Linked DNA regions of Rattus norvegicus. The protein of the gene in region 2 purifies or fractionates together with the protein of the main gene of each other region. This does not show direct contact. Links are inferred from orthologs where the notes say so. Each region holds a gene or a part of one and is shown on either strand. Other genes may lie near its edges. The genes, in order: Dnaaf2, Ube3d and Cpsf3.

Region 1 (4,232 bases), on a different chromosome or scaffold from region 2:
CCCCTAGTTACTATTTAGGGTGTAAATATGTATTTTGTACTTTTTATGTGTAAAGTGACAATTCTGGCCTTGAAAGCCACAAGTCTCTCTATGATAAAAACACTAATAGTAATAAAATGATTATACATGTCTCACTACTCCCAATTTTCTTTTTATTTTCTTTAGAACCGTGTCTCACTACAAAACACAGACTGGCCTCGAACTCCTAATCCTTCTTCCTCAGGCTCCTGAACCAAAACAGATTTATCCTAAAACTAAACGTATATATCCTAAACCTCCTACATTTCGCCAGTCAGTTTGTTTGCCCAGAAGTGTTTCTGATTTAGTTGCTCCTTGGGTCAAACACTAGGGGCAAGGACAACTAAAAGCAAACGGAGGGAAACTTTCTTTGTAAATTACAGCACCCACCAGAGGGCGACCTTACTGAATTTAAGCCCTCATTGAGTTAAGTAGCCTCAAATGGCCAAATGGGATGTAGGAAAGGACACTAAGGCCTAGAGCAAGGGTGCTCTACCACTGAGCTCAATCTCCAACCCCAGCATAGAACGTAAATTACTTCCTCTCTGGAAGAAATCTATCATTACTTGCACAAATTCTAAGCTTGGAAGCAAGTGACTTCCCAAGTTAAAATAGGAGCACTTTGGAGGGAATTTTTACCACAAGTCCTTTTGAGAACGACTAACGATATAACCTTTTTCTCAAAAGAGATAGAACCCTCAATTTTCTTGCATAAGTTTCCAGAAGTCTAGGAGTCACTAAAATCCAGTTTTCTCTAGTCAGTCGGTGGACCCCAAAACAACCCTGAAGACTTGAAGTGCATCTTTAGAACATGTGCAATCTTCGCTTTGCGAATGAGCTTAACCTGCACTATTATATGAACGAATAGAAAATATTTATGTCCATGTAACAAAAATGTTTATAGTAAGATAAGAGTATTTCAAATAGTGAGAACGGTTACCTCCAAAGAATCCTTGTTCAAGCCCCAATACCACTCTCGCCAAAGTCCGTGGCTCTCTGGAGATTTTGCCAGTACTATGACAGCATTGTTTAAAGAAATGCTAATCGCAGGTTCTTTGGTACTCAACTTATTTTCCGGAGCAAACTGCAAAGTGAAGGAGTAACCTGAGTCTTGTGTGGAGAAGCACAGTTCGTAACTGAAGGGACTCAGATCCCCGTGAAGACTTTGCGGCTGAATCCCAGGCACTTGGATGAGCAAAGTCAAGGAGTCTTCATCCTGATTACACTGTAAAGGAGGGCACAAGGGTTTGATGCTCTCCGTTCCCGGGCCACCCATGTCTGAGCCCGAGGTGTCGTGGCAGGTCCCCTCCTGTTCCTCACTAGTCTGGACACTGAGGTCTCCGTACACTCCCGATCTTTCCGCAAGGGATTCAGCGTCGCCGCTCTGGAAAGCAGAATAAAGGAGGCTTCGGTTCTCAGGAGTTGTCCCTTCCCCGGGGCCTAGTGGTGTCACTGAGTCCCCTCCGAAGTCCTGCTCCGGCTCGGGAACGAGCTCCCCTTCAGCTTTTGCAGTCCCGGCATCTGGGGCTACCACACAGCTCTTTCTCCCGTGGTCAGCTCCAGAACTATCTGCAGACTCTTCCCGAGCCCCGGCAAGATCGCCCGCGGAAGTGCAGGCTATATTGTCAGTTCCGGTCTCGGCCGTAGGCCCTTCCGGTGTCGTCGAGAAGTCCTGGCGCGCGACCGCCAGCGCCACCGGCAGCGTGACTACCAGCTGCCGCCGCGCCTTATTGTACTGTGCCCTGCCGCGGCCGTCGTCCACCGGGTACGGCAGCGAGAGCCGCAGTCGGTAGTCGGGGTTTCTGGAATCTAGGCACAGCAGCTTCCCCTTCACCTCCAGCTCCGCCCGCTCGGCCGAGCGCAGCAGCGGCAGCTCGATGGTGACCACCAACTCGTGCGGCACGGTGCTTGGGGCCGCGTCGCGCGAGCAACGGTAATCCTGGAGGTCCACGTGGTGGCGCTGCACCACGGAGCAGCGCGGTTCGGTGGGCTCCGGGCGCTGCACAGCCTTGGGAGCCGGGGACGCGGGCGAGCGGGCGGTGCTCTCCGCAGCCGCGGGGTAATGGTACGGGTATGGTGGGTACGGGAGAAGCCCTGGCAGCTCCCCCTCGGGCTGAGCCCGGACGCCCTCGGGAAGGGGCGTGCGGAGCACTGCGGCCTCCGGCGTCCCCTTGTACTTGATCTTCAGGGTCTTGGCGTTCCTGCGGTCCAGCCTGACGCCGAACTGCTGCTCCACCGCCTCCAGGGCCGTGGCGTCCAGCATTTCGCGGAAGCGCTCGTGGCTCCTGGCCAGCGCAAGCGCTTCCGGGTGGAAGACCACGTCGTAGACGGTGTAGCGATTACCGTTGCGGCCCGCATACTGGCGGCCCGGGGCCAGGCTATAGGGCAGGGACCAGTGGCTGCCGGCCGCCGTGCCGCCACGCCCGGGGCCTGGCCGGCTGCTGGGCGCGCCTACCAGTGAGTTGCTGCACACGTTGACGAAGCAGCGATGCTCCCCGTCTAAGCTGGTACGCAGCACGTGGCCCGGCTCAGGGTGCACGAACCGCACCTCCACCCCACGCTCCCTCTCCAGTGCTGTGATCTCCTCCTCGTAGCGCCTCCGGTTCTCAGGGTCCGTGATCTCCGCGGCGTAGTCGGAGAACATTCGGCGGAACTCTGGGTCCTGAAAAGCGGAGGTAAGCCGTTGCACCTCCTCTCCGCTCAGATCCAAGTCTTCCAGCGCTGAAGAGGCTGCCGTCTTGGCCATGGTGACCCACGCGGCCCCTCACCCAGACCCAGTGAAGAATCAACGTGAACCGAGTGTCTAGGATGCGCTTCAGAGTCAGGTTCATGAGGAACTGACCAGCTCAGAAAGGTAACGGCTGAATTATCAGGGCAGCGCGTGCTTTGTTGCCATGGTAACACCCAGGAGGAGGGGCAGTGATCTAGTGGAAATTGCTAGAAATAGGCTCCCCTGTTCCGTGCTTTAAACTACTGCGTCAGGATACGTGTGTTTTGCAGTCTGTCATGGTAATTGTCCTCGTTTTCAGCGCTGTGGCTGTGTCTTATTAACTGTTTAATTTCACAGACAAGTGAGAAGTTTTCTAGCCAAGGCTACAATTCTCAAACCTAACTTTATCTGACTCTTTGCACTTTGCAGAACCAATGTTTAAGCCCTTTCCATTTTCAGGTATTTCACCTCATAGTTGTCCCTCAGAAACCCTTGGGGGCAAAAAAATGACTCCCCAAGCAGATCCCAGAGCCCAGTAAGCACTGGAAAGGTGTTCACTTTTTGTAATGTAAATGTCAGATCTCATAAATCACTTAGCAAAATTATAGACTTTGTCCTGATCAATTTCCCTGGGTTGAGAATAGAATTATAACTTCACTTATTTTTTTTAAACCACATATCCTTAGATTGATTCTGTCGTCTCTAACAGTGCTCCACAAGGAACTAATGCAGCAGACACTGTAGTTAGATAATGGAGTTTTAGCGCCAGACTATAGAAACTTTGTTTTGTTATAGGGCTAGGTGTGGGACCCAGGACGTCCCACCTGTGGCATGAGCTCTACCCTGAGCTATCCCAGAGTATGGTTATGTACTGATAGCTGGTCAGTCCCACACCGGTTTTGTCTGTGCAGCATTTAGCAGTTTACACTGGCATTACTTCAATAACAAGAGCTTTTCCTGGCTTCTCTCTTAACTCATCCTTTTTTGTGGAAGGGAATGTCACAGAACCAAACCCAGGGCTTGACACGTACAAGACAAGCATTCTCTCCCCCAAGCTGCAGGCCTTCCTCTGTTCGATTTTAAGTAGAGTGTCCCAAGACTTGGATGGCATCTCATCTCCGACAGGCCATCTCTTTCACAAATTAAATATATATACTTGGCCAGAGCAGTGACTCACACCGTTAACCCAGCACTCAGAGGCACAGGCAGGAGGATCTGAGTTCCTGGCCAGCCTGGAAGCAAGTTCCAGAAAAATCGAGGCTACACAAAGAAACCCTGCCTTGGAAAACCAAAACAAGTAAATGAAACTCAAATAACCAACTTCTGTTTCACATTCTAAACTCTAGACTCGTCCAACTGTCCATCGGATGTCTCCATTTGAGTAATGGAGCTTGAAAGGGCTGGAAATGGACTCCTTGCCTTGGTTTCCTCTCTCATTTTCAGTACTGAATTCTCGTAATTTTCTGTCCTTGCCCTTCATCTGTCACAGCTTCCCTGTACACGG
Region 2 (4,211 bases):
CCCAGATGCCCTTCAACAGAGGAACAGATACAGAAAATGTGGTACATCTACACAATGGAGTACTACTCAGCTATCAAAAACAATGATTTCATGAAATTCATAGGCAAATGAATTGAACTAGAAAATATCATCCTGAGTGAGGTAAAACACTCAGAAAAACACACATGGTATATACTCACTGATAAGTGGATATTAGCCCAAAAGCTCAAATTACCATAGATACAATCCACAGATCACATGAAGCTCAAGAAGAAGGACGACCAAAAGGCAGATGCTTCACTCCTCCTTAAAAGGGGGAACAAAAATATTCATAGGAGGGGATACCGAGGCAAAGGTTGGAGCAGAGACTGAAGGAACAGCCATTCAGAGCCTGCCCTACATGCGGCCCATATATATACAGCCACCAAGACTGATGAAGCTAAGAAGTGCATGCTGACAGGAATTGGATATAGATCTTTCCTGAGAGATACAACCAGAACCATGTCAAATACAGAGGCAAATGCTAGCAGCAAATCACTGAACTGAGAACATGATCCCCATTGGAGGAATTAGAGAAAGGATTGAAAGACCTGAAGGGGCTTGCAACCCCATAAGAACAACAATGCCAACCAACCAGAGCTCCCACAGACTAAACTGCTTCCCAAAGACTATACATGGACTAACCCATGGCTCCAACTGCCTATGTAGCAGAGGATGGTCTTGTTGGGCACCAATGGAAAGAGAAGCCCTTGGTCCTGCCAAGGATGGACCCCCAGTGTAGAGGTAATTGGGGGGTGGGAGGACAGGAACGAAGGTGGATGGGGAGGGGAACACCTTTATAGAAGGGGAAGGGGATGGGATAGGGGACTTATGTCAAGGAAACTGGGAAAGGGAATAACATTTGAAATGTAAATTTAAAAAAAAAAAGAAAAAAATCCAATTAAAAAAAAAAAAGAAAAAAAAATCCAGCAATAGAAAAGTAAGAAAATTGTTTGTGAGATACTCAGGCAATGGAAAACTACTCAGTAAGAAACGGAAAAGGAATACTCATTTAAGCTACAACAGAGATGAAACAAAAATGTCAAAGCCTGGTTGGAGGGTCCCAGTGATGTGAAAGCACAGGCAGGCAGATCTCTATGACTTCAAGGTCAGCCTGGTTTACATCTTCACTTATGGCAGCCATGATGCATTGTTAGACCCTGTCTTAAAAAAAACAAGCAACAACAAAAAGCATATTGGAAAAGGCAGTTTAAAACAACAACCGATGTATCCAGTTGGCTAGGTCAGCTTGACTACATCAGGAATTAATTAAAACTCCAAAATGCAGGGCACACTGTGAGGGATTTCTGCTTAATTCGAAGTAGGAAGATTCACTTCCTCCCTCTGAGGTAGGAAGACACCCCTTTATCCAGATCTCTTGAGCTGGGAAGAGCCACCTCAGATATAAGCCACAACTTCTGCTGGAAGAGGACATGGAAGAGGCAGTCTGTCTGCTCTCTGCCTGCTTGCCCTCGCTCTCGCTGGCATTCTGAAGTACACCGAAGACCAGCTGAGGCATGAAGACATGAGACCCTGAAGACAGTCGGGTCTCACGGAGTGAGCAATTACTGGATCTTTGGACTCACCATTCATTCATAGCCTGTTGGATTAGCTGGACTGCAGGCTGTAAGTCCTTCTCTAAATCCCCTTCCTATTTATAGGGAGACTCATTCAATAAATGCTGTTACTCTAGAGAACCCTGACTAATACACGTCAGCACAGTTCAACAGTGAAACTGTGTAGACTGGTTGAATGACACCAGACCATGGTTGTTACTAGGGGAAGGGAGCTGACTTGTGTTAGAAGTCGAGTCAAAAGACCAGAGAGAGACAAACAAGCAGACTAGCAAAGTAGGTTTCTCAACTCATTTACAGAATGGGTTTTGTATGAGGGATTAAGCCGCTGTATTTGATGTTAGTACCCTTACTTACCTAAAAAATTGGACAGAAATTGCAGATACTTGTTCGAACTTATGACTTCACGCCTCCCCACCCTTCCTCCCCATACTGGAGAAACTCAAGATCTGTATAAGCTACACAAATGAATTGCACCGAGCCTACACTCAATCCAAATCTTAAAACTGAAGAAATTCAGATAAAAGTATTCTGCCCACGTGAGAAACCTAGGATCTGAGCCCAGTTCTCAGGTCATATGCAAAACTGCCACGTTAGCTGTTTGTCAGGTTTTAGGAAAAGAGGAGAAGCTAAGAAAAAAAAAAAAGATACAACTGTGCTGTTCTGTAATAAATTTCCACATCTAACTCTATTTGATGCATTTGTCACAAAGAAATCGGCAAAACCCGTGAAGAGATCGCAGATCATTAAAATTGCTGACCATAAGCCAAAAAGGAGCATTTTGTTCCCCAAAAGTTTCTTGTTTCTGTAGTAAATATGAAATTAAAAGCCCGCAGTCAGGCTGGGGAGATGGTTCAGTGGCTAAAGTGCTTGGTAGGCAAACCATCTCGTCCTGCGCACGCGTACACCGTCCCGTGCACGCGCCTACTGTCCGGTTCGCTCCTCCTTCGGTCCCGCGCATCCGCGCTCCTGTGCCACGCACACGAGCACCAGTCTCCTCGTCTCGCTCACGGCCCACGCACGCGGTCCCGCGCACCGGTGCCTCCTCCCTTACCCCAGGATTAGCAGCGCGCTCTGGAGCCGTCTCCGCACTTCCAGGAACACGCGTGTTTCCGCCTCAACCACCGCCATGGCCGACTCAGGGGCCCACGCGGGACCGAGCCCGCAGTTACCAGAACTGGGACTGGGTGGGAGCACGTGCGGCCGTGGCAAGCCGCTGGCTTCCTGGCGGAGGCAGCGCGGCGGCCAGGCGGGATCGGGCAGTGGCGGTCTGTCGGCTGGAGCGCCACCTTTTGGGCAGAGTACGCACTGCCAAGGCACCGATCTCCCCGCCCCCCCCCGCCCCCCCAGTCGCGCTCTAGTAGGACAGGTGGGACCCAGAGAGCAGAGCTGGCCTCCACTAGAAGATGATGGAGGGACTTGACTATGAGCATTATTCTCCCTAAAATGAGCAGAAAGCTCAGATTTGGGGCAGAAGGAAACTCTCCTCTGGTTTGCTTGGGTAGGGTGAGGTAGATAACGGAGCAGAGGCTGTACAGATGGTACTTTTATTAGCTTCTGTCTAATGTGTCAGAAATGTCAAAGATTGGCCACTACATTTCGCTTTAGATATGGTAGTTCTAAGACTGCAACTGTTGCAAAAACATGTATGAGGTCTCTAGAAGCCATAAAAAGAGAGTGGTGGACTCTTAATATCTTGACTAATCATTCATATTCACTTTTAATAAGCAAAAAGAAAAAAAAAGTAATTTCTTTTTTTATACATCCCCACTATACTGCAGAAGTGAAAGAAGTCATAACTTATTTGCTCCTACAAGATACGTTTTGAAAGTTTGATAAGGTGAAAGAGCTGGTGCGGTCTAAACAAATATATCAGGTCATAGAATTTCAGTAGGACATCTTTTAAAATGAAAAGCTGTCATTTAAAATGATAGATTGTATAAGGGAAATTGTCTTAGTTCTAAGATTTCTTTTGCTGTGGTGAAGCAACGTTACCAAAGAAACTTGGGGAGGAAAGGGTTTATTCAGCTTACACTTCCACATGACTGTATATCATTGAAGGATGTCGGAACAGGAAGCAAAACAGGGCAGAAACCTGGAGGTAGGAGCTGATACAGAAGCTATGGAAGGGTGCTGTTTACTGAGCCTGCTTTCTTATAGAACCTAGGATCACCAACCCAGCGAAAGCACCACCCATTAACCACTCCCGGATCAATCACTATTTAAGAAAACGAGTTACAGTTGGATCTTATGGAAGCATTTTCTCAATGGAGGTTCCCCCCTTTCAGAAGACTCTATCTTGTGTCAGGTTAACATAAAACTAGCCAAGACAGAAACCCTGTTTATCGATGTTCCATTTCATAGTCATAATTACACCAAATAAACTGGAAGCATTTCTAAATAGGTTTAAGCCAAGGATGATGGTGTATATCTGTAATTCCAGCATTTAGGAGGCTGAGGCAGGATTGCTGTAAGTTCAAGGTCAGTTTTGGCTTTATATTAAGTGCCATTTCAGGCTATGTGGCAAGACCCTGGCTCAAAACAAAAACAGTCTTAAGTATATTGAAACTTATCTGTTTTTCTAATATTAGCCTTTGAAGTTTTTTTTTTTTAAAGTTT
Region 3 (3,633 bases), on a different chromosome or scaffold from region 2:
AATGGAAGCTGACAAGGAAACAGGGCCGTCAGGGCTTTAGCTACCAGAGGCCAGCACTGCTCCAATTCCTGCTCACCCGACAAAACTGTGCTAAGTACACTGGGATGCTGTGAGGAGACCGAGGAGGCATGGCCGCTCTCTTCTTCTAGCATGGAGTCTGGGGGTCAAACTCCTGTCAGGCCTGGCCGCTAGTACCTCATCCTCTGTTCTTCTCAATGCCTCTCCACTCTATCAGTGACTGATTAGAAGGGAAAGAACATGAACCAAATCTACACTTGACAGCCAGAATTGTAACAATTGAAACTTGTCACCGTGGTTTTTTTTTCTCTTTTTGGTTTTTTGAGGCAGGGTTTCTCTGAGCAGCCCTGGCTATCCTCGAACTCAGAGATGGGCTGCCTCTGCTGGGATTAAAGGTGTGCACTGCCACTGTCCAGCTTCGCCATCTTTAAATGAAGTTTTTCAAGATAGTCTTATTGTGCCATCTGCACTTGCTACAGACCCAGCAATCCTCCTGCCTCAGCCTTCTCAGTGTTAGGACTGCAGGTGTGCAGCACCACAGTCTCCTGAAGCTCTTACTGAGGAGTGTGACAAGGTGGCAAGGAGCTCCTGTGAGAGGAGACACCTGAGGATGGCCCACAGCGGACATGACACCCCCAGCACTCACTGTCACACACAGATGCTTCCTGGTTTGAGCCTCAAGACAGAGCGGCGCTGGTTTACACTTAGAAATTTGCTTTCATTCTTATCAAATTTTCGTTTTATTTTAATTTTGAGACAGTCTCACTATGTGGCTCTGATTGACCTGGAGCTCACTGAATAGACCAGGCCTTAAACTCAACTCCCAAAGATCTGCCTGTCTTTGCCTCTCAGTGCTGGGACTAAAGGCATGCAATACCAGTCCCAGTTTATTAAGAAAAAGCAGGTAACAAATCTGACCAGCAAGATGGCTCGAGGATAAAGGGATGGCCAACTAGGAAGGCTGACCTCTGATTCTCATGAACATCACTGTGGCATGTGCATGTTCATACTATACATACAGCTGGACGGATGGGACACACACACACACACACACACACACAGAATGTAAACAAAAACCCACACCAAAGCCTAGAAAGGCGGATCATCACAGCAAAGGTCAGTAGGTCAGTAAGGGAAACTTACTGACTGATCAACAGAAGGTCGATCTCAGCTGGGTCGATGAGGTCAATGTAAGGAAGAGCATCCATTCCTTCCAGGCCAGGGTGGATCCCACAGTCTAGCTGGAGGGGGAAAAACACAGACAAAACAGATGACAACCTGCTACATATCTGATAAACCTCATCCAGCAGACCGACACTAGGACCGCGCTCAGAGGAGCCCAGGACATGTGCACTCAGAACAGTCTCAGGAAAGAACAGGATGTGCCCGAAGCAGCTCGTCTCTTTGGGCACTGCTCACGTTTGACAGCACTGACTTGCTGGGGTTCTTCCTCAAGTGCTCTTCTATCAGAAGCCGGCAGACACAAGTTTGCAGGTTTGGAGCAATTCTCCCACCAGGGAGAGCACCATCACACCTTCCTACAGGCTGATGGCTGGGAGCTTATCCTACGAGGTGTCACTTCCACACTAACAAATGCTTAAATGTCATTTACAGGCTGGAGAGGTGGCTCAGCGGTTAGAGCACCGACTGCTCTCCCAGAGGTCCTGAGTTCAAATCCCAGCAACCACATGGTGGCTCACAACCATCTGTAATGGGATCTGATGCCCTCTTCTGGTGTGTAGGTGTACATACAGCCACAACATTCATATACATAAAACAGACCTTTTTAAAAAATGCCTGAATGACTGGTGGGAGCTGGAGAAATGGCTCAGCGGTTAAGAGCACTGTCTACTCTTCCAGAGGGAGGTTCAACACCCACCACTAACATGGTAGCTCACAACTATAACTGTATTTCTAGGGGAGTCTATATCATCTCCTGACCTCCACAGGCACCAGGCACAAACACAGTGCACAGATATACAGACCAAATAACACATAGAATAATTTTTTAAATAGTTGACTCTGGTAAACACATGCCTGTTCTTTTAGGACTAAGAGAATTAGGGGCTGGAGAGATGGCTCAGTGGCTTTTCCAGAGGTTCTGAGTTCAATTCCACATGGTGGCTCACAACCATCTGTAATAGGATCCGATGCCCTTTTCTGGTGTGTCTTAATACAGCTACAGTGTATTCACATACATAAAATAAATAAATAAATCTTTAAAAAATTCTTAAATAAAAAAGAAAGACTAAGAGAACTAAAGAAGAAATGAGAATCAAGGAACTAGAGTCAGTGTTCCTCCTTTCTCCTGGGACCTTTGAAACCAGCGCTCCTGATCCTATAGCCTCTCAGGACCTGACAGAGCCAGCCAGACTGGTGCCCCTTGTGGCGTGGCCCAAGTTGACACCCATTCAAGGCACTTAATTCCTTGAGGTCTTCCAAAGGAGTGGGGTCCTCAGGTTATCTAGACAAGGGAATGGACAAGGACTTTGAGGAGACAACAGTCTGGCAGATCCAGCTGGCAGTTTTACAGTGTTTTATCTTTTTAGGTTACCTGATGCTTTTAATTACTAAGTGAAGTGTGTTAGTCTCTCAGCGCACAGTGTCCGCTCTATACATCTCTCTCAGATAGGGCTAGAGATAACTGGCTCAGTAGGACAGACCTAACGGTTAGTATGGATAGAGCTACACTGTTTTCTTGACTGTATAAATAATCATTACCTAGGCTAGGAGTGTGATTCAGCTTAGAACACACGCTTGGCATGCACATGGCCCAAAGTTCAATTTCCAGTAGCAATAACAGCAATAATAATTACCATGATTTTCCTTCCTTTGAACTCCAGAATAATACATGATCTTCCCACTTCTTGGCCAGCACCACTGCAAATAGTCAAGGGGAGAACTAAAGTGAGTAAAAAGCAATCACACAGCCCAGAGCTTGGTTTAGAGGCTCACAATGACAATGGCAGCTCTAGGGGCTATGGCAAATAAGTCAGTGTTCAGTACAGCCCGTCTCACTCCACCCCAGTAACATCCAACACACTAAATTCAAACTCTTTCACAACGAACTGCCCGAGTTACAACAGCAGTCACTTAATTCCCAAGACAGGACAGTTCTACAGGTTCAAACAGAGGATGAGTGTGGGGTAGAAAAAGGAGAAAAGCGATCTTCAGGTGACGTGGGATGTTTAAGACGTGAACAAGCAATCAAGTGACACTTCCAGAACAAAGCCATGTCAGTGTTTCACCCTGAGATCACCTTACCATGTAGCCTGGTCACCATGGTTTTAGCCCTAACCCTTCAGGCACATCTTAAGCTAAAAAATAACAGCTTCTTGGATATTTTCCCCAAAATCTCGCTCACAATGAACTCTCAAACATGGTACTAACAGCCTAGGATGTTGACCAGACCTCAAAGACCTTGTGATCTAGGAGGAGTGGGGCTGAGACAGACCCTTACCCACTGGACTAGCCACAGACTAAGAGAATAAGAAACAATAGGGATGTAATCCCAGCACTTGGGGGACACACAGAGAATAAAGTTGTCTGGCGGGCAGAGCTCTGTGGATCTGGGGCCAGCCTGACCTACAGAGAGCTAAACGACAGCCAGGGATA

What was found.
Region 1: the proteins of Ube3d (region 2) and Dnaaf2 purify together in Homo sapiens (affinity purification with mass spectrometry; 4 studies listed by BioGRID and IntAct, counting the BioPlex papers as one, with this or other methods). This does not show direct contact. The link is inferred for Rattus norvegicus from reciprocal best matches to the Homo sapiens genes UBE3D and DNAAF2.
Region 3: the proteins of Ube3d (region 2) and Cpsf3 purify together in Homo sapiens (affinity purification with mass spectrometry; 4 studies listed by BioGRID and IntAct, counting the BioPlex papers as one, with this or other methods). This does not show direct contact. The link is inferred for Rattus norvegicus from reciprocal best matches to the Homo sapiens genes UBE3D and CPSF3.

The regions. Positions count from the first base shown.
Region 1 is NC_086024.1:93,403,492-93,407,723, forward strand, and holds the start of Dnaaf2 (protein kintoun), read right to left. Parts: upstream 2,833-4,232; 5' UTR 2,765-2,832; coding exon 959-2,764; intron 1-958. UniProt on the Homo sapiens protein: Required for cytoplasmic pre-assembly of axonemal dyneins, thereby playing a central role in motility in cilia and flagella.
Region 2 is NC_086026.1:96,290,235-96,294,445, forward strand, and holds the start of Ube3d (E3 ubiquitin-protein ligase E3D), read right to left. Parts: upstream 2,845-4,211; 5' UTR 2,724-2,844; coding exon 2,647-2,723; intron 1-2,646. UniProt on the Homo sapiens protein: E3 ubiquitin-protein ligase which accepts ubiquitin from specific E2 ubiquitin-conjugating enzymes, and transfers it to substrates, generally promoting their degradation by the proteasome.
Region 3 is NC_086024.1:46,568,173-46,571,805, reverse strand, and holds part of Cpsf3 (cleavage and polyadenylation specificity factor subunit 3), read right to left. Parts: intron 2,899-3,633; coding exon of another isoform or gene 2,838-2,898; coding exon 2,835-2,837; intron 1,260-2,834; coding exon 1,162-1,259; intron 9-1,161; coding exon 1-8. UniProt on the Homo sapiens protein: Component of the cleavage and polyadenylation specificity factor (CPSF) complex that plays a key role in pre-mRNA 3'-end formation, recognizing the AAUAAA signal sequence and interacting with poly(A) polymerase and other factors to bring about cleavage and poly(A) addition.